Linked DNA regions of Sus scrofa. The protein of the gene in region 1 interacts with the protein of each later gene in a pairwise test. Links are inferred from orthologs where the notes say so. Each region holds a gene or a part of one and is shown in the gene's direction. Other genes may lie near its edges. The genes, in order: AES, NAB2, SMAD3, C6H1orf109, CARD9, OLIG3 and PARVG.

What was found.
Region 2: the proteins of AES (region 1) and NAB2 interact in binary tests that used the Homo sapiens proteins (3 or more experiments, as listed by UniProt). The two-hybrid records come from large-scale screens. The link is inferred for Sus scrofa from reciprocal best matches to the Homo sapiens genes TLE5 and NAB2.
Region 3: the proteins of AES (region 1) and SMAD3 interact in binary tests that used the Homo sapiens proteins (3 or more experiments, as listed by UniProt). The two-hybrid records come from large-scale screens. The link is inferred for Sus scrofa from reciprocal best matches to the Homo sapiens genes TLE5 and SMAD3.
Region 4: the proteins of AES (region 1) and C6H1orf109 interact in binary tests that used the Homo sapiens proteins (3 or more experiments, as listed by UniProt). The two-hybrid records come from large-scale screens. The link is inferred for Sus scrofa from reciprocal best matches to the Homo sapiens genes TLE5 and AIRIM.
Region 5: the proteins of AES (region 1) and CARD9 interact in binary tests that used the Homo sapiens proteins (3 or more experiments, as listed by UniProt). The two-hybrid records come from large-scale screens. The link is inferred for Sus scrofa from reciprocal best matches to the Homo sapiens genes TLE5 and CARD9.
Region 6: the proteins of AES (region 1) and OLIG3 interact in binary tests that used the Homo sapiens proteins (3 or more experiments, as listed by UniProt). The two-hybrid records come from large-scale screens. The link is inferred for Sus scrofa from reciprocal best matches to the Homo sapiens genes TLE5 and OLIG3.
Region 7: the proteins of AES (region 1) and PARVG interact in binary tests that used the Homo sapiens proteins (3 or more experiments, as listed by UniProt). The two-hybrid records come from large-scale screens. The link is inferred for Sus scrofa from reciprocal best matches to the Homo sapiens genes TLE5 and PARVG.

The regions. Positions count from the first base shown.
Region 1 is NC_010444.4:75,490,840-75,495,007, forward strand, and holds the start of AES (amino-terminal enhancer of split), read left to right. Parts: upstream 1-1,368; 5' UTR 1,369-1,542; coding exon 1,543-1,569; intron 1,570-2,703; coding exon 2,704-2,801; intron 2,802-4,168. UniProt on the Homo sapiens protein: Transcriptional corepressor. Acts as a dominant repressor towards other family members. Inhibits NF-kappa-B-regulated gene expression. May be required for the initiation and maintenance of the differentiated state.
Region 2 is NC_010447.5:22,403,275-22,406,924, forward strand, and holds the end of NAB2 (NGFI-A-binding protein 2), read left to right. Parts: intron 1-96; coding exon 97-230; intron 231-587; coding exon 588-639; intron 640-733; coding exon 734-866; intron 867-1,086; coding exon 1,087-1,278; intron 1,279-2,293; coding exon 2,294-2,403; 3' UTR 2,404-3,150; downstream 3,151-3,650. UniProt on the Homo sapiens protein: Acts as a transcriptional repressor for zinc finger transcription factors EGR1 and EGR2. Isoform 2 lacks repression ability.
Region 3 is NC_010443.5:165,109,957-165,113,456, forward strand, and holds part of SMAD3 (mothers against decapentaplegic homolog 3), read left to right. Parts: intron 1-1,786; coding exon 1,787-1,999; intron 2,000-3,500. UniProt on the Homo sapiens protein: Receptor-regulated SMAD (R-SMAD) that is an intracellular signal transducer and transcriptional modulator activated by TGF-beta (transforming growth factor) and activin type 1 receptor kinases.
Region 4 is NC_010448.4:93,744,097-93,747,596, reverse strand, and holds part of C6H1orf109 (uncharacterized protein C1orf109 homolog), read left to right. Parts: intron 1-468; coding exon 469-648; intron 649-3,013; coding exon 3,014-3,132; intron 3,133-3,304; coding exon 3,305-3,342; 3' UTR 3,343-3,500. UniProt on the Homo sapiens protein: Part of the 55LCC heterohexameric ATPase complex which is chromatin-associated and promotes replisome proteostasis to maintain replication fork progression and genome stability.
Region 5 is NW_018084833.1:1,342,235-1,346,232, forward strand, and holds the start of CARD9 (caspase recruitment domain-containing protein 9), read left to right. Parts: upstream 1-1,198; 5' UTR 1,199-1,748; coding exon 1,749-2,092; intron 2,093-2,406; coding exon 2,407-2,606; intron 2,607-2,888; coding exon 2,889-3,026; intron 3,027-3,578; coding exon 3,579-3,883; intron 3,884-3,961; coding exon 3,962-3,998. UniProt on the Homo sapiens protein: Adapter protein that plays a key role in innate immune response against fungi by forming signaling complexes downstream of C-type lectin receptors.
Region 6 is NC_010443.5:26,799,540-26,801,989, forward strand, and holds OLIG3 (oligodendrocyte transcription factor 3), read left to right. Parts: upstream 1-1,131; coding exon 1,132-1,950; downstream 1,951-2,450. UniProt on the Homo sapiens protein: May determine the distinct specification program of class A neurons in the dorsal part of the spinal cord and suppress specification of class B neurons.
Region 7 is NC_010447.5:4,888,467-4,891,966, reverse strand, and holds part of PARVG (gamma-parvin), read left to right. Parts: intron 1-35; coding exon 36-151; intron 152-1,579; coding exon 1,580-1,635; intron 1,636-3,500. UniProt on the Homo sapiens protein: Plays a role with ILK in promoting the cell adhesion and spreading of leukocytes.

The DNA.
Region 1 (4,168 bases):
AGAATTTAAATTCATCCAGGAGGCAAAGGTGCATAGTGGATGATGATGATGGTGACAATTAAGAGCCTATGTATTTAGCACTTCCTGGAACTTAATGTGCCTTATTTCTGGTTTCTTGGAGGCCTGCTCTCCACAGGAAAGGGAGAGAGATCCTATCAAAGTCCCCATCAGCCCTGTTTCTCCTCTGCCCACCATCTCACAGGGCTCCCATCTCACTCCGAGCAAGCCCAAATCCTCCCTGAGCCCACAAGGCCCTGCACCATCTGTCCCGCCTCATCACCAGCTACAGAATTTGCAGGCCCCAATGCAAAACAAGACCATTCAAAAATTATTAGGAATTTCCAGACCAACACAGCAGATCATCCACCCAAGCAGAGGCCCTTCTGGAAGCCAGGCCTCTGTGCAAATTCCAGAAGCTGCTAGCCCTGCCCCTCTGCTCCCTTTTCCTCTCAAGCACCCCACCCCCACCTGTGCTAGGCACAGTGCTGCCTCAGTACCTTTGCACTGGCTGTTTCTGCCTCCTAAAATAAGCGACCAACCCCATAGCCTACTGGCTCCCTCTCTCGTCTTCAGATCCGCTTAGCGGCCAAAGAGGTCCATCTGAGTTCCCTCTGTTTAAAATCACATCTTCCCGGCCCTCCCTCCTGCTTTCTTTTCTCTATAGCTGTTACCACCATCTGACCTGCCAGGGACCTGGCTCTTTGGCTGGTCTCTCTGTCTTCTGTCTTCTCCACCAGGGTAGGGACTCTGTACCCCCTCCCACCCCCACCTGGCACACAGTAGGCGCTCCATTAATGTGAGTCAAGGTATGGCTCCCAGGAGGTCGGCGGTATCATCCCCGCCTTTCTACGGAGGAGGAAACCGAGGCTCAGAGAAAAGCCAGTGAGCCAAGGTTACAGAGCATGTCCCTGGCACGCGTCCGGGTCGCGCCATGACAGCGCCGGCGGTTTCGATGGGGGCAGCCGGGCCCCAAGCTTTGACCGATGGGGAAACCGAGGCCCTGGCGGTTGCCGAGGCCACCCGGCCGGGAGGGGCCGCGGCGGGGCGGGGGCGCGCGGGCCCAAGGTCACCGCGCCGGCCGGCCCGGGGGAGGCGGATGGGTGGGGATCCGCGGGCCTCCCCGGGCGCGCGCCCCCCCCTCGGCGGCGCGCACGGGGCCCGGGAAGCAGCAGCGGCGGCGGCGGCGGCGGCGGCGACAGCAGCAGGTGGAGCCGGAGCCTCCGCGCAGCCGAGGCCGCGGCCACTGCCGGCGTCGCCGCCATTAGACAATAGGAGCGGCGGCCGGGCGTGCGGGGAGGCGGGCGGCGGGGAGGGGCGGGGAGGGGCGCCGGGCGCGCAGGAAGCGGGGCCCGGGGCGCGCCGGGGCCGGGCGCGCGGGGAGGGGGCGCAGGAAGCGGGCGAGGCCGGGCGCGGGAGGCGGCGGCGGCGGCCCCGGGAGCTGCCGATCGGCTCCGGGACAAAGGCGCGGCCGCCCGGCGCCCCGAGCAGCCCGAGTCGGGGCGCACAGCCGGGGCGCAGCCTGCGCCCCCCGCCGCGACTGACATGATGTTTCCACAAAGCAGGCATTCGGTAAGCGGGGCCCGTCGGCCCGGCGGCCCCCCCCCCCCCCGTCCGGGCCCGGCACCCCCGGTTCCCAGCCCAGCCACCCCCCCCAGCTCCGGGCCCTGCGTCCCCCTACGTCCTGGCCCGGTATCCCCAGTTCCCAGCCGGGGCTATTCCCTCCCCCAGGTTCGGGCCCTGCGTCCCTCCAGGTCGGGGCCCCGTACCCTCCCATATCCGAACCCAGCGCCCCCTCTAGGTCCAAGCCCTGCGACCCCCTTCCAGGTCCCTGCCAGGCCAACCCCCCGCCTCCAGCTCGGCACCTCCCCCCAACTCCTGGGCCCAGTCCCCTCCAGCTCTGGGCCCAGAGCTGCTCCCCCCCCGCAACCGCCGCCAGCTCCGGGTCCCCCTCCCAGCTTCCGGGCCCAGAGCCCCCCCAGGTCCCCTTTTGCCCCCAGCTCAGAGCACGCCCCAGACCCTGGACCCTGCGCACCCCCACCCCAAGCCAGGCTGGGCCTCGCTGGCCTTGGCCTGGGGCCTGGGGCGCCCCGGGAGCCCCACTAGGCACCTCTAACGCTGGGGCTGCTTTTGGGGCCTGGGAGTGGGGGAGAGTCAAGGCGCACCCCTCCCGGAAGAGCGCGCGGCCTGGAGGAAGGGTGCTAGGAATCTGGGGTGGGCCCCCGCACCCCCGGAAGATTTTGGGCGCTGAGAGCCCCCTCTCCCAAGGGGACTTTGCCAGGAAGCCTGCCCCCGCCTCCCAGCTTTGGGGAGGGGGATTCACTAGGACGCGTTCTCCCCCCTCCCTGAGGCAGTTGGGACGCTCAGACGTGCAACCCCTCCCGGCGCTGTGGAGGCGCGGTAGAGGGCGCACCCTACCCCCCACCAAGGGCGGCCCTTCAAATGCACCCCCACAGCCTGGGGGTGGAGGGGGACGAGCGGCTCCGGGAGCACCCACCCTCCTTAGCTTCTCGGGGAGAGGCGGGGGCAGGAAGCGAGGGCGGGGGCCGAGCCAGGGGCTGTAAACACAGCCAGGGAAGTGGGGCAGGGTGTGGGGGGACGCTGCAGCTGCGCAGGCCGCAGCCTGGTGGAGGGGGGGCGCCCTCAGGGAGGAAGGTGGGTGGCGGCCCCCTCCTGGTCCTGACCCGGGCCGCCCCCTCCCCACAGGGCTCGTCGCACCTACCCCAGCAACTCAAATTCACCACCTCGGACTCCTGCGACCGCATCAAAGATGAGTTTCAGCTCCTGCAGGCTCAGTACCACAGGTGAGCTGAGGGCTGGTGGTCCCTGCCCTGGGTGAAGGTGGAGCCCCCTGCTCAGAAGGCAAGACTGAGGCCTGGAGCTGAAGTTGTGGTCCCTGCTATACACACAGAATGGGGGGAAAAAATCGGTATTGAGTGTCTCATGTGGCAGACCAGGTCTCCAACACTTACGGATATTAAATTCATTTAGTCTTTAGGACAGTCCCATTTCATAGAGGAGAAAACTGAGGCACAAGAATTTAAATAATTTGCCCAAAGACTCAGCCGTCTGGTTTCCAAGCCCCTCTCCCCTCCCCCACCCCCACCCCAGACTGCGTTGGATAAAAGACCTCCCAAGAGCTGGAGTTGGGGGCTGGATCTTCCATCGCCCCACCCACCCCTCAAAAGAAAGTCTATAGCTTGTTATCTCTTTGCCTAGTTTTGGAGAAAAGGTTTCTGGCACCCAGCAGCAAGGCGATGCTCCCTCCAGAATTTAATCTAACATTTCTAAAGGGCTTGCCATGTGCCAGATCTAAGAAAAAGGAACTATTATTATCTTCATTTTACATTTAGGGAAACTTAAACCCAGAGGTGATAGGGGTTTCCTGGGGTTGCCCAGCAGGGAAGTGGCAAAATGAGATTCTCACACTCAGTTTCTGGGTTGAAGACTGCAAAGTCTCAAGCCTTAGCTCCGGAGGGGGTCTTTGCTTGAGAATCAGAAGGGGGTCCATGGCCACAGATACCAGTGGGGTCTTGGGCTTTCTCTGGACCTCAGTTTGGTCACACAAAAGTGTTCTATGAAGGATCCTGAGTTTTCTCCAAGAAGAGATAGGAATAGTGAGATCTGTTTTTCCTTTGGGGGTGTTCCTATCCTCCCCATTTGCCAAATACTGAACATACATCCTTTTATTGAATCTTCCCTGCTTTTTGATCATATGCCCATTTCAAAGTGAGGAAACTGAGGCAAGGTGGTTGAAGGGCAGGCCCGGGAGCTTTGTTCTGGTCCTGTGATGTGGAGGGTTTAGGAGCTTTGCTTGTCAGGCCTGGCCTTTCTGAGCCTCTCCAGGGGTCCTACCCTCCCTACCTGGCCCTTGCTCTCCTCTGATCCAATCTGGCTGGCCGATCTGACTCCAGAGACTGAGGGTCAGGTTGCTGCCTCATGCTGTGTGACCTCAGGTAGGCCAGGCCCCCTCTCTGAGCTTTGGAGTCACGATCCGCTGGGCCTGGGCTTCCTGCTATACAGCGAGGAGTCCTACTGTGTTGGGGACTGGTACAGTATCTGCCAGTCCCTCAGGAAGGGCCAGAAATGCAGTTTGGAATGAAACTGCCTTTTTTTTTTTTTTTTAACAGTGGCAGCAACTGTACATTTTTAAAGAAAATTAGAGAAGCCA
Region 2 (3,650 bases), on another chromosome or scaffold:
TGGGCCTTGCTTGTCTGATGGTGAAGGGGAGAGAGGAGGTTTGGGCAAGGTGCTGGGTGAGTTAGGATTCTGACTGCGCTGGCGCCCTCTCCACAGCTGACCATCAATGAGGCTGCTGCCCAGTTCTGCATGAGGGACAACACGCTCTTACTGCGGAGGGTGGAGCTCTTCTCCCTGTCCCGCCAGGTGGCCCGAGAGAGTACCTACCTGTCCTCCTTGAAGGGCTCCAGGTGAGACTCCCTTCTCTAGGTCCTTCCTAGATCAGAATCCTTCCAAGGAGCTGGGTCATGTCTTAATCTCTACTTCAGGTGCCTCTTGGACTGCTTCTCCCCCATCTGTGTGTCCTTGACTTTGGCCAAGTCCACTTATCTGAGGTCTGGCCCCTTCTCCCATCCATTGCAGGCCTCCACTGTGCCCCCCCACTGCCCCCCCCCCCCCAACAATGGTGCCTGAGCTGGAGACTTGCTTAGCCAGCATCTTTTCATACTCTGGAAATAATGCGTGTTCTTCCCCCCCCAGATTCTGTGTCTTGTCCACCACTTGTCCTTCCCCAGCCTCACTCTCCTTGTTCCTCTCCATCTTTGAAGGCTTCACCCCGAAGAATTGGGAGGCCCCCCACTGAAGAAACTGAAACAAGAGGTAGGTTTTCCAGGGTGCATATAGGGGGTTAGGGCAGCCTTCCCTGGTCCCCTCCCTTGCCAGGTTTTCATTTCCCCATTTGGGGCCTCTACAGGTTGGTGAGCAAAGTCACTCTGAAATCCAGCAGCCTCCCTCAGGCCCTGAGTCCTATGCACCCCCATACCGCCCCAGCCTGGAGGAAGACAGTGCCAGCCTGTCCGGGGAGAGCCTGGATGGACACTTGCAGGGTGAGTGTGCCTCGGAACACTTCTCTGGCCACTGGGGAGGGGGGAGCGCAGGGGTAGAAAGCTTGGGAGGAGGGCGCCAGGAGGCAACTCCCTGGAACATGGTTGGGAGGCCTGGCGGGATGGGGGCAAATGGGCCTGGGCCTATGGGTCTGGCTTTGCAGTTGAGGGTGGGGGTTCCGTGGACTGTGGTCCCTTACCTGACCCGTGCCCATGCCCACAGCTGTGGGGTCATGCCCAAGGCTGACGCCGCCCCCTGCTGACCTGCCTCTGGCATTGCCAGCCCATGGGCTGTGGAGCCGCCACATCCTGCAGCAGACACTGATGGATGAGGGGCTGCGGCTAGCCCGCCTCGTCTCCCATGACCGCGTGGGCCGCCTCAGCCCCTGTGTGCCTGCGAAGCCGCCTCTCGCAGGTGAGGCAGCCAGCAGTGCTGTCCCCAACCACCCCTGCCACCCAGGCTCTCCCCCAACACACACAGCAATCCTGGTGTCCTGGGGCCAGGTGGGAGGAAGAGGGATGTAGTCACCAGAGAGGGCAATAAGGATGGTGGAGCTCCAGCCAACCAGGCCTTGGGTTGAGGAGAGGGGAGCCCTTGGAGGGCTGTTCCCAATAGGGAGGGTCTGACCCTAATGGGCATCTCTGAAGGGGGAACTGGGGAGCAGGAAAAGGAGGGTCATCAAGAAGAGAAGCTTGGATAGAACTTTTACCAACACAGGAGGGTGGAGCATTCTAGGAGTAGGGGTGAGGTTGCCAGCTTAGAATTGGACGAGCCCAAAGGGGTATGCTTGGTGCGTGGATGGGGGAAGGGGGAGTGAGGGAGTAGGCCAGCAGAGGGCCGGGCAGCGGCTGGGCTGAGAGTGACGCAGCAGACAAAGCCACCAACCCTGGCTTGGTATTTTTAAACTGTGTGTGGGTGGGAAGTGGGGGCGGGGACTGAAAGAGGGGCTCTTCTTGGGGGAGGAGCTGGGAGGTTGGCTTCCTGTGATCCCCTTGATTTGGCTTCTAAGAAACTGGGGGGGGGGGGCGTGCATGGTAGGGTAGGCAGGGCCTGGGAGGAGGCCAGGGATGAGTGGGGGCGGCAGAGCCTGGGAAGGGGGGAGGGGGAGAGGTCACAGCCAACCCGCCCCCGCAGCTCCTGACAGAACCAGAAATTCCAGCAGAACGGAGGCGGGAGAGACCGAGAAAGAGAGAGACACTTACAAAGACCGAGAGCTACACACTGCTAAGAAGGGGAAGGGGTGCACACACTTGGCTATAGAAACCCCCCCCCCCACATACATGCACTCACCCGCGCGCGCGCGAGGTGGGCTGAGGGCTGTAAATCCGAGCTCAACTTTACAGCCTTCTCTACACCTGCCTTTGTTCTCAACCACCTCTGTCTACAGCGTTCACCTCGCAGCCTCCTAACTGACCCCTTCTCCCCGCAGAGTTCGAGGAGGGGCTGGTAGACCGATGCCCTGCGCCGGGACCCCATCCCGCTCTGGTGGAAGGTCGGAGGAGCAGCGTCAAAGTGGAGGCTGAGGCCAGCCGGCAGTGAGGGCGGGACTGCTGTCCTCAGACCGCGGGGCCTGGGCTCCCGGGTCACACAACCCCTCGACTCCGCGTCCCTGGCACCTAGTCACAGCCCTGGATCCTTCCGCTGCCCTTCTCCTGCCTCCCCACCGGCCCCATGGGCATAGAACTATGGGGCTTCAAGCAATAACGAGCAGGGGCCTGGCGAGAGGACACAAGGAGGGTGCGTGGTGCCCCCCTCACCGTTGCCCAGAGCAAGGGGCAAGGACTCTGCCTCCAGGGCACTTGGGGTTCTCCCCTTCCTTACACAGCACACTCCCATTCTCTAGTTTGAACCAGTGGTGTGAGCAGTTGGACTCGGTTTGGACATGGGGGAAAGGGGGACTATCCTGGGAGGGTCCAGCAACTAAAAGTGGAAACATTTCCCCCCCAGAACTGGGGGCCTGGGAACACTGGACCTGATCCTCCCTCCATTCCCCCATTTTTGTGCTTCTAGTTTGTTTCTTTAATTTAACAAGTGCTGCAGTTTGCCTACCCATCCCCATCCTTCTCCCAAGTCCTCAGCGGTTCTCTCCCTCCTGCCCTCTCTAGGGGGGCATGGGGTCCCCTTCACCAGCCCCCTCAGGAGGCTTGGGTGGACTCAGGGTCTCCCTTAGCTGGGGGCTGGGCCGCAGCACCTGTCTGAGCAGTTAGAGCATCTTTCTTTTCAGATCGTGTACAGTAGATTATTTATTTTGTTATTTTGGAATAAAATTTATTTTATGGCTTAGGATCTATGACCCCCAAGATGGAGAAAGGGTGGCATGGGGCAGGGGAGTGGAGGGAAGCTGGCGGTGGCTGGGGAAATAGAAAAGAAGCAGTGGGTAGGGCCCCCGATACACCCAAAGGACCACACACTTGAGTCTGGACCCCAGACTCTCTACCCCCTGCCTCTGGGCAGGACTGGTGGTGATGAGCCACCAAAACTACAGCCATATGCAGATGTCACAGCCACGAAGACCCCTCTGGGCACAGTTCTCAAAGATGAGTGAGTGCATTTGGGTTCGCATACACCAGAGAGGCCAGCATGCTTGCTGGTATCTTTTGTGCAGTGTCTCACACTTTCAAACGTGTGTTGTCACACAGGCAAAATCAGAGAGGTACATGTTCTATGTGGCTGTACAGCTAACGTGTGTGACATCTATATAGTAACATGTCTCAAGTACACATACTTTTGCACAGCTATACACACAAACTCAGCCTTTGTACTTCTGCATAATCTCATGCACATGT
Region 3 (3,500 bases), on another chromosome or scaffold:
CAGCAGGTCCGTGCCAAAGCCGAATGTGAACACAAGTCTGTCCAGCCTTGAAGCTTGTGCTCCCTGAGCTGGTCAAACACCCAGGACAGTGATTTTCAACTGCGGCCTATTTTGCCCCCAGAAGACGTCTCTCAGTGTCTGGAGAAGTTTCTTACAGTCACAGCTGGGAGGGTGAGATGGATGTATGTTGCTGGCATCAAGTAGGCAGAGGCTTAGGATGCTGCTGTTGCACATCCCAGAGCACGCAGGATCCCCCCACCCAAGGAAAGAATTATCGTGCCCCAAATTTGCCAAGGCCGAGACCTGATCCAAGTGCCCTCACCCTCCAGCCAACTCTTCACAGCATGTTGAGTGCAGGGGTGTCACCGGTCCGCAGCCCTTCCCCTGTGAGCCAGCCTTCTCTTTGCTCTTAGATGGGATCATGGGCGTAGACCCCAGAAGGAGATCAGGGCCATTTTGCCCTGCAGGGGAACCCAGGCCCCTCCTGGAATAGCTTCTGCTTTATTCTTTCCTGGGCTTTTATACACTTTGTGAGGTCTGGTGAGCTGAGCTTAAGTTCTCATGGGTTCTCGCTCTAGGAAGTTGCCTGGCCGGCGGTGACACGGGTCTCGGGCCAGTGCTGACTTGGCATGGCGAGCTCTCCCATCCTCTCACCAGCTTCCAGAGACACGCCTGAGTAACCATATACGCAACTCTCTATGTATATGTAAGAGCCAGAGTACGTGGTGCAGGCCAGAGGGCTAAGACCAGAATGAGAGCAGCAGACTCTGATTCACCAACAAATAGGGGGATTCGAGGAGGCACAGGGGAAGGACGTGGCCCCGGGAGCAGGACAGGGCAGAGAAGAAGCTGGAAGGGCTGGGCTGGGTGCTGGGGAGCCCTGTCAGAGGGCCGTGGCACTAGTGCAAGTGAAGAATGACGAGGAGGGACCCTGAGGTGAGAAGTGACACAGAGACAGGCAGGGGTACCTGGGCAGGTGTGGAGCCCAGAACAACTGGAGGTGACAGGAAGGCTAGGGCGTCCCTGGAAAGGGAGGTGTGGCTTCGTGTGAGGGGAAACCTCTACTTCAGGAGTTCCCACCTCTTCTGAGAAACAGAACTGCCCCCTCCCAGGACGGCAGTTACTCTGAGGTGCCCTTGACTGAGACCACAGGATGACCTCTAGAAGTTCAGAGTTTCTTTTAGGTGAGTTTGTGTGTTAGCCTCCTGGTTGCTCAACATCTGGATACACTTGGAGGATAGTTTCTATAACAAGAGGCAGGAACCGGGTTTACTCTGCAGATGGTGCCTGGCGCCTGTGTGGTCTTGGACACCAAGCGCAGCGCAGACCCCAGGGCTGCAGCAGCCTTATCGTTTCACAGGCTTGGATGCTGCTGCTCGACAGGAGTTAGCTTTGGAGGGGCGGAGATCAGCATGGGTTACCTCGGGGACCTAGGAAGAGAGGCAGGTGGCGTGGCCTGCCCGCGATAGGCACACCCAGCCTGTCCAGTGTGTCTGTCCAGGGGCTTGGCCTAGCACCTCCCTGAAGACGGCTTCAACCTGAGGCCAGGCCAGGCGGGGCAGGGCCTTTGGAAGCTAAAGCTAAATGAAAAGTGCTTCTCCTGCCACCTGAGTATTTTGTCCCGCTGGCTGCTCCTGCAGGTTTTATCCAGTAAAAGGTACGAGGGTGGGGAGATTATAATGCCCTCTGAGAGGTGGGGAACAGTCTTCCAGAGCAGCCGGCAGACCCCGTCCAGGGGCACGGGGCCTGGGGCGCCACTGACCCAGGGGCTGGCCTGTCTCCTCAGACCTGCAGCCCGTCACCTACTGCGAGCCGGCCTTCTGGTGCTCCATCTCCTACTACGAGCTCAACCAGCGCGTCGGGGAGACATTCCACGCCTCGCAACCGTCCATGACCGTGGACGGCTTCACCGACCCCTCCAACTCGGAGCGCTTCTGCCTGGGGCTGCTCTCCAATGTCAACAGGAATGCGGCTGTGGAGCTGACACGGAGGCACATCGGTGAGGGGCGGTCGAGTTTCCCCCACGACACCCCAGATCCCCAGCCCAGCACAGACCCCTCCAGAATCCGCCACCACTGTGCTGGGCCTCCCCCACCTCCACCCCTCCCCCAAAAGCTCTCTGTCACCTTATTCAGGGGCCAGACAGGTAGAGTTCAGGTTGCTTGATCATTCTCACCCAGAGACAGATATCATCTTTGAAACTTTGAAAGCCACAAGGGAAGATGCTGGACTTTCTGGAAAAAGGCAACTGTGTAATTCTCCTTAATAAAAATACCCTTAAGGGGGAGTACCCGTTGTGGTTCAGTGGTTAACAAACCCGACTAGGATCCTTGAGGACTCAGGTTCAATCCCTGGCCTCACTCAGTGGATTAAGGATCTGGAGTTGCCGTGAGCTATGGTGTAGGTTGCAGACGCAGCTCGGATCTGGCGTGGCTGTGACTGTGGCATAGGCCAGTGGTTACAGCTCTGATTCGAGCCCCCTAGCCTGGGATGCAGAGGGTGCAGCCTTAAAAAGACCAAAAAAAAAAAAAAAAAGAAATACCCTTAAAGTACTGATAAGTGGGTAAGTAGATAGTCCTGGAAAGATGATCTTTGGTTTGTTCATTTCACACAGGATTATCCTAGGAACTTAGAAGAGGTAGAGAGGCAAGTATTGCCCACTGCTGGGTACCACTGCTGCTGCCACTCTGTCTTCCAGCACCCAGCGTGCGGTAAAGCCCACTTAGTTTAGGGAAGATTGAAGCCTTGCTGTGTTGCTTTATTTGCTCATAAAATCATGCTAAGAGTATTCCCAATGTTGTGATCCAGAGTCACCTACAAGAGCCATGGGGATGGTATGGAGATGGTTGGTATTCTGAAACATTGCTCCATGTGCCCAGGGTGGCCAAAGGGGCTCCAGGGCAAACTCGGGAGCCAGGTAGGGCAGTGGGCCACATGACCCAGAGCAGCCCTGCTCTTGTTTGTATTATATCTTGGGCCTTCAGAGATGATTCATTCGGAGAGAGGATTTTACAGTTAAGACAAGTTTGGAAGCCACAGGCCTGGGCCAGGGTGCTCATGTTCCAGGGAAGACCCTGACGGACAGGCAGGGAAGGGCAGAGGCCACACAGCAAGTGTGACACAGTCAGTGGCAAAGAGTCCCTGCTGCTGAGCCTTCATCCTTCCCAGACAGCCTCCCCATTTGTTTTACTTTTTAAAAGATCCTAGATGGCATACACAGGTGTTTACTCACTCACTTTACACTTTTCTCTATTTAAAATATGTCAGAAATTATCAAAACGAGAACAAATGTTTTTGTCCTTTGGGTCTGGGTCTTTCCACCTGTGCCTCTGCCTCCTGATCATTTTTTTGGGAGGGGGCGCACCCATGGCATATGGAAGTTCCCAGGCTAGGAGTCAAATCAGAGCTGTAGCCACTGGCCTGTCACCACAGCCATGCCAGATGTGAGCCGCATCTGACCTACACCACAGCTCACGGCAACACCAGATCCTTAGCTCACT
Region 4 (3,500 bases), on another chromosome or scaffold:
GTCATTTCTTCTTCTTTTTTTTTTTTTATTTTTTGGCCATACCCATGGCATTCGGGAAGTTTCCAGGCTAGGGATCAAACCTATGCCACTGCAGTAACCTGAGCCACAGTAATGACAATGCCTGGTCCTTAATCCACTGAGCCACCAGGGAACTCCAGTTCTTAATTCTCGAGCCACCCCTACCTCCAAGAAACCATCACCCATCTCCTTAGAGAAATGGGTCTCATTTGGAGACAGTTTTTCCCATTGGGAAGTTTGGCACTATCTGGAGACGTTATCGATTGTCACTACTTGGAAAGGGTGGGAACATGATCAGCCCTTGTCAACTAGTGGGTAGAGGCCAGGGATACCACTGAACATCCTATAGTGCAGCCCTCCACCACCAAGAATCATCTGTCCAGAGCAGCCATAGTGCTGAGGCCTTAGGCCTTTCTCATCATGTTGCCTAATATCAGACTCTTTCCCCAGAGCCACCCTCCTCAAGGTGCGTGATGTGGTCAGCAGCCACGTGGAACACGTGCTTCAGACCTATGAGCGGCATGCGGACACAATCGGCCTGGATGCTGTCCTGCAGGCTTCAGCTGCAAGCCCCTCTGTGGCTGAAATGTTGGAGTGGTTGCACGATATCGAGAGACACTATCGAAATTTGTATCCTTTGCACACATTTCAGGTTGTTCCAGAGCTATTCCAGGAAGTCTTTTAAATTTTGGTTTTCACAGGATTACACAACAGTATACAGTGTGGCTCAGTTCTCTTTGGTTCCTGAACTTGGATGCTTCCTACACTCATTTGTGCAGTCACTCCTCAAGTCATTTATTGAGTAGCTGATACCTGCCAGGCATTGTTCTAGGGGCTGGGAGGTAGGCATTAAAAAAGGAAAATATTAACAGGCTGTCAGATTGTGGTAATGCCTTGGAGAAAAACAAAGCAGGGAGTGGGGGAAGCGAGGGGAGCAGGTGGGCTTGTGATTTTAAATAAGATGGTCGGGGCAGGCCTCAGTGAGGAAGCAGGATTTGAGAAAAGACCTGAAGGGAGGGAAAGAACCAGGTGGATATTGGGGGAAAGAGTGTTCCAGGCAGGAGACACACAACGTGCAGAGGCCCTGACGGGAGAGCAAGTCTTGTGTGTTCAGGAAATAGTCAGTGGGGCTCGAGCCGAGTGAAGGGGGGGTGGTTTAACAGGAGATGTGGTCAGAAAGACAGGTCTAGAGTTGGTAGGGCCGCCAGGGTCTTCAGAAGGTTTTGGCTTTTGCTCTGAGTGAGATGGAAAGCTATAGGTTTTGAGTAGAGGGGTAACTTGATCAGATCTATGTTTTCAGCAGTATTACCGGCTGTGTTCTAAGGAGACTTGGGTGGAAGCAGGAAGACCAGTTAGTTGGGGAGTTGTCTTGCCTTTTTCTCTTGATTGTTGCCTGATAACTCACTTCTACCCTCTGGCTGAAGTTTCTACTTTTATTTACTTATTTATTTGGTCTTTTTGCCATTTCTAGGGCCGCTTCTGCGGCATATGGAGGTTCCCAGGCTAGGGGTCTAATATGAGCTACAGCTGCCAGCCTACGCCAGAGCCACGGCAATGTGGGATCCAAGCCGAGTCTGTGACCTACACCACGGCTCACAGCAACGCCGGATCCTTAACCCACTGAGCAAGGCCAGGAATTGAACCTGCAACCTCATGGTTCCTAGTCGGATTTGTTAACCACTGAGCCATGATGGGATCTCCTCTACCTTTATTTAAATCACTCCCAAACCCAATCTTTATTCTTGCCTCTGTTTACCTCTAATTTGGGTTTTTAGTTTCTGCAGAGGCCCCCAGCTGGAATCTCATAGAACTGCAGGCTCACATGGAGAGTTGAAGTCCTCCGTCCAGCCTTCCATTCAGCTCCCTTTTCCTTGAGTTGTAGTGTCAACCCTGTCTGATCATTTAGTCTAGAAACTTCAGCAGCCTTGTCCCCATTTTCCACCCTACTTTCTTTTTTCTCCCCCCCTCCCCACCCCATTTTCTAATGGCAGCAGAAGCAGCAGTGGTGGCAACAGCAGCCTGGGCAGTGGGACAGTAGCTGAGTGCTTATTGTGTGCCAGGTGCTGTCGTTAGAGTGTTTGCAGAGTCAGCTTTCAAGTCCTTGCATTCTGTTGCCTTGGTGCTTCTTGAATTTTCCTTCTCTATCCCCACTGCCTCTACCATAGTTTCTCACTTGGACCTGTAGTCACATGTAGTGACAGGTTTCTCTGTCTTCCTTCCCTCCAAGCCACCCCCAGATAGTGGCCGCATTCCACAGACTTATCCATAAGACAGCTCCTTTCTGATCCTGTTGCTCGTGTAGAAGTTTTCAGTAGCTTCTGCAAAGCCCTTTTGTTGGTCTTTGTGTCCTGGCTCCACCTGTCCTCTCAGCCGCCTTTCCTGCTACTCCACACCTCGCTCCATGCCCGCCGCGCTGGCACGTGTACTGTTCCTGAGTCCATGCTGTGCCTCCCCCCTTCCATGCCTTGGCTTAAGCTTTTCCTACCAGCTGGAACCCTCCTCCAGTCCTCTAAGGGGGATGTGTTCATCCTCTGAGCTTCCACTGAGTTTTTCTTCCCTGTTGTTTAGTCTTTCTTTCCAGTTTCTGTTTTTTCCCCTCACTGCAGTGAGATCCTAGATTGCAGGGTAGTGTTTCCGTCCTTTTCCCTGTAGCCCAGAGCCATGTGTGTGAGGAGGGGCTCAGGAAAGGGCTGTAGCCTAGGTGGGTCCTGCCCACCTGGGAAAGGTAGCGGTTACTGTGCTTTGACTTCGCAGCTCCTGGGAACTCTCTCCAGGCTGTTTTCTCCCTTCGGTGTATTTCATTGTCTTTGGTTTTTCAGTTGTTGTTTTAGTTTTAGCTTTTGGTTTTGGGGTGTGCCCATGGCATGTGGACATTCCTGGGCCAGGGGTTGAACCCGTACTACAGCAGTGACAATGCCGGATTCTTAACCGACTGTGCCACCAGGGACCTCCTATTTCGCTTTCCTCTAGAGCACCTTCCTTAACTCCCTGGAAGCTACCTGAGGAGGAGGCACCTCCTGTCCTCCATCCAGTGGGGAGACCTGGAAAACATTCAAGCTTTGCCCAAAGCCTGGGACCGAATTTCAGAAGCTGAACACCCAGACCTTATACGAGGTACTGATTTTCATTTTGTCCTTCACGTCTCCTCCCCTCCTTTCTTTCTGGGTCTCACCTCTTTGGAAGCATGTGGAGATGCCCTCATGGTGCCTCTGTAGCTTTTACAAATTGGATGTTTTGTGTTTTCTGGAAAGGTCATAGGCCACATTTTTCTCTCTTCCTGTTGCAGATATCCTGTTGAGTGTTTCCTTCTTCCTGGAAGAGTGAAGAAGCTGTGTGTTTATTGGGAGACTGGGGGGAAGAAGACCGATGTTGCTGCTCTCTGAAATGGCAGCATTGCAACCTGACATATGGGAAATATCAGTGCCTTCGAACCTGAGGACTGGTTCTTGGGAGGATTGTGCTAGAGGTTTCTGACAGGGGCT
Region 5 (3,998 bases), on another chromosome or scaffold:
CTCCTCTGACCTGTGGGCTAAGTTTTCTTGTTCAATTTCCAAATGCTGAGTGAGGGTCCCGACGTCTCTGTGGCTGCTGCCTCGCCCAGAGCACACGACGTCTGCCTGAGCTCTAAGCCACGGGAACTGGGTCGTTGAGGGCCCGGTACCAGCCTGCCTGCTGGGCATGTAGGAGGCGGTGGCTCAGTCTCCTGCACCAAGTCCCCACCTGGCTTTCGCGGCTCCCGCAGGGGGCTCCCCATGCCCAGAGGGTGATGTCAGCTCCCCGGAAGGCCAGGCCACCACGCAACCCAGCAGTGCCAGGTCTGTGCCGGGACGCCCAAGGTTTCTGCGAAGTGGCCCGCTGACCATCCTGGGCAGAAGGCAGAGAAGCCCCCACACGGCCTGAGGCGTGAGACCCCACAGGAAGGGAGCTGGCCAGGCGGGAGGGAAGCTCCTCAGGAAGGGGGAGCCGGGAGCACCGGCCAGGCTCCCATCCAGCCCGTCCAGCCGCAGCCCCTTCGCGGAGCTGAAGCTGGCAGCTCGGTTCAACTGGCAAAGCTCCCCGGGCAGCGCGGTGGCCTGGGGATTCCCCAACCTGGCCAGGGTGCAGCTGGCAGCCAGGGCTGGGCTCCAGGCTTTGCCCGGCCTTCTGCAGCCCTTCTGAAGTGCTGGGGTGGGGGGCTGCTGTCACTGTCATGTGTCCTGGTGGAGAAGGGGTGGTCCCAGGAGGGGCGGGGCCGTGCCAGCCACAGCAGGCCAGTGTGCTGCGGGGCGCCTGTGCCCGGGGCCCTGTTTTGGGACACCACACCGCCCCCTCCTGGGACCAAAGTGGGCCAGCAGGGGCTCGAGCTCTGTCAAGCCTTGGCTCGCACTCCCCACTCCTCAGGGTCAGGGCTGGGCCTCCAGGGCGGGCCCTGGGCCCCGCGGCCAGCCCTGCGCTGGCTGGCAGGGCTCTGGGCAGCCTTCCTGGGGAGCCACTTCCACTTCCCTCCCCCGCCCCCCAGGCCGCCCTGCTCGGGCGAATCAGCAGCGGCCGCAGGGATGGTCCCTGCGGGGTTAACGCCAGGAAGTGCGCTCCCTCCCGCCCCACCCTCCCTGGCCGGCAGCCGCGGCAGCTCCCACCGCTCACACACCGGCTTGGCGGCCCAGGCTGGCCGGCGACCGGCCACTGCACAGGTGCCTCAGGAGGACCCCAAGGTAGGCTGGTCTGGTGCCCTTTCGGAAAGGCGGCGGCAAGCCCAGGTGGCTCAGGACTCTTGGGACAGGGAGAGGGATCTGGCGTGAACACCCCAGAAGGGCACCAAACGGCCTCACCTCTGCTGCCCCGTCCCCCTCGCAGCCACCTGGCACGGTCGCTTCGGTGGAATGCACAGCAGGTCATCGTCAGGCGTGGGTGCTGTGGACTTGAGGCTAGAAAGGCCGCAACAGGCCAGGTCCAGAGACCGGCCACCAAGGTGCTGGTGATTCCTCTGGACGCCGCGCCTGTCGCTAGGCGGGCGGGCCGAGGGCGGTGGGACCCACAGCCACGGCCTCTGGGATACCACGGCCTCTGGGACCGTGCCCCAGCCCCCGTGGCCCGGGAGCCGGTGTTTCCCAGGCAGGTTACAGGCTCAGTCCCAGGTGTTGAGGCGGGGTCTCTGTGCCCCCCGACCCCTCTCCCCCAGGAGGAGGCATGGCCACATGGCTGCTCCTGCTCAGCCCGCCCCAGAGCGTGGTCCCTGCCCACCCGCTGCTGGAAGGGCTAGCAGAGAGCAGCTTCCACGTAGATGGTCCCCTGTCAGGGAGCCAGCATCCCCGTGCTCAGCACTGTGGCCGAGGAGATGGGGAGAGCCCGGGGCCAGCTAGTGCCCAGCACCCAGAGCCTGGAGGAGGCGCGCAGCCGCGTCCTGGGCTGCCTGGGCGACACAGCTGGGCCCTCCCCATGTGCCCAGGGCCCTCCGGTGGGCTGCTCTCAGTCACGCTTCCTGGAGGGCACCACGTCCCTGGGCCTGACCGGAGCGGGCCAGCTGGGCAACTGTTGCATCACCAGCCACAGGAAGCAGAGGAAGGGATGGGAGTGGATGTGCGGGGGAATGAGGAAGTCCCGCGTGGCATGGCCTGCCGCCCGCAGGTGGGGGGCGCCCCAGCCGGGCGCGGGCTGGCCGGGGGTGGACCGGGACCCCTCCCTCATCTGCCGGGGAGGTTGTGCCAGCGCTCGGCCCAAACAGCTCCTGCTGCCCCCTCACCTCCAGGGAGGGAGGCAGCCTCCCTGCCCGCCCACAATGCTCGGGGAGGGGGATTCTCCCTGGGCACAGGCTGGGGGGGTAGCGTGGGGCAGGGGCCCAGGGTGACGGGGGCGGGGGAGAGGAAGCCCAGAGCGGCCAGAGGGCGGGGGCAGGGCAGGGCAGGGCGGCGGGCCAGTTGACGGGCCCTCTCTCGGAGCAGTGCGCCCGCCCGCACCATGTCCGACTACGAGAACGAGGACGAGTGCTGGAGCGGCCTGGAGGGCTTCCGCGTGAAGCTCATCTCCGTCATCGACCCCGCCCGCATCACGCCCTACCTGCGCCAGTGCAAGGTCCTGAGCCCCGACGACGAGGAGCAGGTGCTCAGTGACCCCAGCCTGGTCATCCGCAAGCGGAAAGTGGGTCAGTGCCGTGGGCGGCGGGCTCTGCCCACGCTCGTCCCTGTCCCCGGGAGGCCTGGCCGGCTCGGCCCCCGCCCCGCCCCCCCCATCACCAACCTGTCTGCCTGCGGCCGGGGCGCCGCCATGCACAGCAGAGGCCCCTGGGAGAGCCACACGAGGTGGGTGGCCGATGGGGACTGGCCCAGACCCACTCTGCGGCCACCCCGCGGGGCCTCGAGGGGCCACACGCGTGCCTGGGGACGCCGGCCGCCCCGGCCCCCAGCCAGGCCCATCTGGGTTGCAGGCGTGCTCCTGGACATCCTGCAACGCACCGGCCACAAGGGCTACGTGGCCTTCCTCGAGAGCCTGGAGCTCTACTACCCGCAGCTCTACAAGAAGGTCACGGGCAAGGAGCCCACCCGCGTCTTCTCCGTCATCATTGGTGAGGAAGGGCACCGGGCCTGGGGACCCAGGGCCCGGACTCAGGGGCCGGGGCGCCCCCCTGACCTGGGCCCCTAACGGATAAAGCGTGCATGCGCTCTGGCGGAAGGATACCGCCCGCCTGGGGCCCGCCCGCCCGCTCTCCTGCTGCAGCCCGGGGAGGGGGCAGGGGCCGGAGGGAAGGGGGACCTGAACTCCAGGGCGGGAGCAGGGGGAGGGGAGGCACAGGCTGATTCTTGGCTCAGAGCCCCCCTGCCCAGAAGACCACCTGACCCCACTAAAACCCTGCTCCCGAGAGGCCGCGGCAGCCGGAGAGGTGCCGCTCTCCTGGTCCTGAGTCGTGTCCCCTCGCCTCTCAATCAAGATGACCAAAGTGGACAAAGAGGGAGGGACACGTGAGCCCCTGGCTGCACCGTCCTGGGAGGGGCTGGGGACGGGGCCTGCAGGTGAGTCAGGACCAGACCCCTGGGCCGGGCTCCCCGGGCCGCCGGTCCTGGAGCCGCGCGAGATGCTGGGCTGCTGGGCGCGCCGTCTGATGAGGCCCGGTCCGCAGACGCGTCTGGGGAGTCCGGCCTGACGCAGCTGCTGATGAGCGAGGTGATGAAGCTGCAGAAGAAGGCGCAGGACCTGACGGCGCTGCTGGGCTCCAAGGACGACCTCATCAAGGAGCTGCGCGTGAAGGACGGCCTGCTGCGCAAGCACCAGGAGCGCGCGCAGAGGCTCAAGGAGGCCTGCGAGGCCGGCGGCCGCGAGCTCCAGCGCTGCAAGGACGAGAACTACGACCTGGCCCTGCGCCTGGCCCGTCAGAGCGAGGAGAGGGGCACCGCGCTCATGCGCAACCGAGACCTGCAGCTGGAGGTGCCTGGCGGCGGGGCGGCCGGGCGGGCGGCGGGCGGGCGGCGGGCCCCCGGGCTGGGCTGACGGGCGGCCCCGCAGATCGATCGGCTCAAGCACAGCCTCATGAAGGCCGAGG
Region 6 (2,450 bases), on another chromosome or scaffold:
TCTGGAGTCCTGGGACCCTTTCCAATCCTTAACTCCCTCGGCTACTTTTCCTCTCCTCTCCTTCTCAAGTGGCTCTTATTGTAACACCAGCGTTGGGTTGTTTCCTCAGTTCCAGGTTTAAGCAAAATTGAAATTCGTTCAGGAAACGATTTTTTCAAAACGAAAGAGAACATATAAAAACCAAGACACCCATCCCCAGGACAGTGTCAGGGGCATATCCATCACCAGATATGGACATCCCGTTAAAATCACACTGGAGGCCCAGTAAACAAAATGAACACAATGCCAGCGTTGAGGGGAAAAAAAACCTAGTAAGAAAAAACTTCGGGCAGTGCAACGGGCAGGCATGCTCCTGCACCTCCCATCCCGACCCCCTCCCCTTGAACCTGCCCTCCATCTGCGTCTCTGTCCTTGAAACCATGGAATCATTGAGACTTTTTGCCCACATTTTCCAAAACTTAGGAGTGGCTGTGGAAGGGAGGAGAGAGAATGTTTCCATTCCTCTCTCCAGCCCCAGAGGAATCTCCGCCGACAGCCTGGCCTCCTTCCCTTCCCTTCCCTCGGTTCCTTTAGGTGTGATTTGATTAGGGAGATTAGGGAGGGGGTAAAGGAAAGTTTAAAAAAAAAAAAATCCAGAAGGCGTGAGCTGGAGCGGTGAGTGTGTCAATCAGAGGGTTTTGTGCCTGGGGGCTCCTAGCGGTTCGGAGCAGAGGTGTCCCTGGGCGGCCCCACAATGAATATGAATAGGAATCCTTGCTAAATGGGACAGCAAAGCGCACCGCCCTGAATGATGGCACGTCATCCTAACCAGCCTAGGATAGATAGGAGGGTTCCTTTTGTCTCTTTTCTCCGCTGCAGCTCTATAAAAGCCCCTCTTTTTCAGCGTGAGGTTAGTTCAAGCACACACCAACTAGCTGTCCAGGAAACCACCAAACCAGAGAGAGAGGGGAGTGGGGAGGGAGAAAGGCGGGGAAAGGCAGTGCCTCAGCTTTTCTTCTCAGGTCTTGCCGCTGAGAAGTGGGTTGCTGGGCTGCGCAGCTCTTTTTTTTAATTTTATTTTTGTAATTCAAGATTTTCTTTAATTTCCCGCCTAAAGCCTCCCCACGGTAGGGCCGCGTCCCCTCTAATAAAATGAATTCTGATTCGAGCTCTGTCTCCAGCAGAGCTTCATCTCCGGACATGGACGAGATGTATCTGAGGGACCACCACCACCGCCATCACCACCACCAGGAGAGCCGCCTCAACTCGGTCTCATCCACGCAGGGCGATATGGTGCAGAAGATGCCCGGGGAAAGCCTCTCGCGGGCCGGCGCCAAGGCCGCGGGCGAGAGCAGCAAGTACAAAATCAAGAAGCAGCTGTCGGAGCAGGATCTACAGCAGTTGCGGTTGAAGATCAACGGACGCGAGCGCAAGCGGATGCATGACCTGAACCTCGCCATGGACGGGCTGCGCGAGGTCATGCCATATGCGCACGGGCCCTCGGTACGCAAGCTCTCCAAGATCGCCACTCTCCTGCTGGCCAGAAACTACATCCTCATGCTCACCAGCTCCCTGGAGGAGATGAAGAGGTTGGTTGGTGAGATCTATGGGGGCCACCACTCGGCCTTCCACTGCGGGACCGTGGGCCACTCGGCCGGCCATCCGGCGCACGCCGCCAACGCCGTGCACCCGGTGCACCCCATCCTGGGCGGCGCGCTCTCGTCCGGCAACGCGTCGTCACCGCTGTCCGCCGCCTCGCTGCCCGCCATCGGCACCATCCGGCCTCCCCACTCGCTCCTCAAGGCACCCTCCACGCCACCCGCGCTGCAGCTGGGCAGCGGCTTCCAGCACTGGGCCGGGCTGCCCTGCCCCTGCACCATCTGCCAGATGCCGCCGCCGCCGCACCTGTCCGCTCTCTCCACCGCCAACATGGCCCGGCTGTCGGCCGAGTCCAAGGACTTGCTCAAGTGAGCAGCGGGCCGGGCCGGCTGCGGAGGATGAGGGGCGAGCGGAGGGAGGGGTCGAGGTGCCAGGCCGGGAGGGAAGAGGGTGGCTGAGAGCTCGGCCGGAGGGAGGGCGGGCGCAGGGCCCCGAGGCCTCCCACACAGTCTGAGAGCTCTCAGATCCCACTTGACCCCCGGAGGGAAAGGACTAAAATCAAACTGCAATTTCTAGGTGGTAGCGAAGGGGGACTCGAACCAGATGTCGTGTGTCTTGCATGCATGCTTCCTTTCTCCATGCCGCGCCAATATTTCTCACTGCCATATGCTCTTGTCAAAACTGCATTTGTTGTATAAAGATGGGATCGGTGTAAACACTTGCAAAGGAACTTTAGAGTTGGCTTTCTCTGGCTTTTGGAAAAGACAGCCATCCCTTTGGTGGGAAACAAATGTAAATATTTCCTTGAGATGGATGCAGTTATGATGGTCTATCCTTTCCACAGTTGTTTTTCGAGAGACAATATGGAGAGA
Region 7 (3,500 bases), on another chromosome or scaffold:
AGAGGGGGCTGACCTCGTGCCCTCTCCCCTCCCAGGCATCTTCAACAAGGACCTTCTGGCCACGCTGCATCTCCTCGTGGCCCTGGCCAAGCGCTTCCAGCCCAGCCTGCCCCTGCCAGCCAACGTCCAGGTGGAAGTGATCACCATGGAGGTAGGAGCCGGGCACCAGAGGCGTCTGCCCGCAGGCCCAGCATCTCGGGGCTGCATCCCCGCGCCCTGGATCGGGGTGCTGCACGGGGCGGGCTGAGATGGAGTGGGTGCCAGGGAGCCCTGAGAAATGTCGAATCCCACCAGGACGGCAGGGAGAGGCCGGGGTGGAGATGTGGGCGAGGGATGCCAAGCGTCCACGAGGAGGTCTGTGGGCCGGCCAGCCCCCCTTACTCAGCAGATGGCACCTGCCTGGGTGTTATGAAGGTCCTGGCTGACGGCCGCCCTGCCACTTGGGCCATAAGTGACCACCTGTTCACGCCTTTCTGAACCCTTCATACCCCTGGGCCACTGCCCTTGTGACTGTGATGGTCTAAGCCCCGGACTCAGGGCTGTGACAGTGGTTCCAGGGGCCTTCTGGGGCTTTCTCTGCCCACGAGGTTCTCTCCCTGCAGCACGTGTGGGACTCCAGCAGGAGCTAATGACACAGGAGTCCCCGTGTCCTCTCTCAGACCCCGAGCACCACAAACAGAGCCCACCTGCACCCGATCCCCGGTCTCCCCTCCCCCAGCCCCTGGGTACCCGGGAGCAGCCTGTCTTCCCTTTGACCTGCTGGACAGAACGCACCAAGTGCAGCCAATTCAGGACAATTCATTCTCACTTTTCAAAACCATTGATATGAATTTTCTGCTAAGCAGGGTCTAGGCTTCGCTTACAAGTAGGCAAAGCGGAGGTGACTTCATCCCTCCATGTAGTCACGCATTCATTCATTCACCCGCTCACTCATTCATTCACGTGCTCACTCACTCATTCATTCACCCGCTCACTCACTCATTCATTCACCCGCTCACTCATTCATTCACCCGCTCACTCATTCATTCACCTGCTCACTCATTCATTCACCTGCTCACTCATTCATCCATCCACCCACTCATTCATTCACCTGCTCACTCATTCATTCCTCCATCCACTCATTCATTCCTCCACCCACTCATTCATTCCTCCACCCTCTCATTCATTCGTCCATCCGCTCATTCATTCATTCATCCACCCACTCACTCATTCACGCACTCATTCATTCGTTCATTCATGTACTCATTCATTTTTTCAATGACCCACTCACTCATTCCTTATTATTCAGACAGCGCGTGTCTACTGATGCCCTTTGAGCCAGGCACTGGGTGGACAGTGGGGATACCTGGGGAACGAGGCAGACATGGTCCCCACCCTTGTGGGGCTCGTGGCCCAGGGGCAGGACGGTTACACTGGCCACTGTGAAAAGGACTGCCCGGAGGCCGCCTTGAGGAGGGGCTGAGACAGAGCAAACTGGGTCCCTTGAGACTGTCTTGGCCACTCGTGTCTTCTCTACTGGCAGGCATGGGTCCTAGAATTTTCTAGTATTATTCCATTCTTCCCTCTCCTTGTTCCCTAGAGCACCAAGAGTGGCCTGAAGTCGGAGAAGTCAGTGGAACAGCTCACTGAGTGCAGGTGAGAGAAGGGCCAGGGCAGTGGCAGAGGCCAGGCCACCTGGGGACTGGGGTACGGCCTGGGGCCAGGGACAGATCTGCCTGACCTTCTTGCAAGGGGCCTCCACACTCTGCCAGCCCCTCTAAGCACACGTGGCCCAAAGGGACCCTCCAGCTCGCTGGCCCTCACACAGCTTGCCCGCCTCTGCCAGCTCGTTTCGCCTTCTGCACAGCCCAGCAAAGCAGGTAGAGACGGGGTCAGAAGGGGCCCTGGTCCGCAGTCCTGAGGTCATATCACAGGCACTGGGGGCCAGGAGAGACCCAGAACTGGGGTCTCCAGACCCTGACACCACGCTGGTTCCCTAACATCCGGTGCGCAGTTGCTACTGGGCGTCCTCACCTGATCCACGGCAGCGAGAGGCCGCACGGGCCTGAACCCTACACCCCGACCGCAGAACCCCGCAGCCTCCCAGTGTCGGGAGGCAGGGGCAGAGGTGCTCACTCATACCGCCCGTGCTTAGCAAGCACCTACTGTGTACAGGTGAGGCTGTATCCTTGAGTGCCCAGCTTCGCCAGCTGTTGGCCTGAGCTCCGGACCGTCTGGGCAAGCAGGACCCCGGAAGTGGCTCCGTCAATGTGCTCCCCACCCTGCCTCCCAGAGGGAAAGGCCCCCGGGGCAGTCCTGGCAGCAGTGCCGCCCACACCCGGCTGCTTTGCAACATGAAAACTGCAGAGCCCTGGGGTCCAGGGAGAAGCAGGGGCTCCCACTAGGCTGGGTGGGTCTTTAGGAGGGCCTCAGTGGAGTGGGGCCCGCCTAGCCTGAGGCCAAAACTTGGTACCACCTCGGGGGTGAAGGAAGCCATACATGAGCCAGGGACCTGCCAGATCCCAACACCCAGCTCTATCCTTCTCCAGGCAGACGTGGCCATTTTCCACTCCTGGACTCCCCTTTGGTGACTTCAGTTGGCCTCTTGCCACCTGTGGGCTCACACTTCTGGGCCCCCCTCCCCTAACCCCTCCTCCCCCTGTTCCCCAAGTGGAGGCCTGGCCCTGCGGCAAGCCCTGGGTTTGGGATGCAGGCTCTGCCCCATGAATGGTAGCCTCTTGGTACCGGCAGACTGTTTCTCGTCCTTGCAAAGTTGCAAGGGCCACAGAGGGGCCCCGGCTCTGCCTGCCAGGCAGGAGGTCCCCCGATCCCGCCACTGGCTGCTGCCTCGCTTCCCCACTGGGCGGCCCACCCCTGTCTCCTCCAAAGGTCTTTCTGGGTTGGTCTGAGAGGGAGCTCCTTGCAGGAATGTTGAGGATTCCCCTTTCTTGTCTAACATGACTGAAGACCTACTGTGCACAGGGTACGGGGCTGATTTAGCTCCTTTGACTCTTTTTATCCTCACCAAGGCCAGTTCGGTTCACCTCCGCTTGCAGGCTGGGCAGCCAGCCCTTCCTGGGCTGGAATCCGGGATCTGCCGTGTGTGAGCTGTGTGCCCTTGGGGAAGTCACTGCCCCTCTCTGAGCTTCTTTACTCTCTGTTGGGGCTGTTGTGCCGGTTAGAGATGAGCATAGGATGCCTGTTCCCCCTCCTGTATCCCCCCAGCCCTGAGGACCCTGCGGCATCCACTGGGAATGGGATGGTGGGAAGGGCTCAACCCACCGCAGGTTGATGACACGCAATGGCTGAGGCCCCACCAGGTGAGCCCAGCGTGGCCAAGGGCAGGAGGAAGCAGACCCCTGCTGGTTTCTCCTGCCAGCGGGTCCTGTGCACTCGCTGGCCCGTTTCCCCTTCTCAGGGACACGCCGGGAAGAAGCCTTGTTCCCTTCCCACTCGGTGAAGCTTAAGTGACCTCCCAGCCACCCAGCCGCTGAGCGACTCTGCACCGGCCCCGCTGAGCT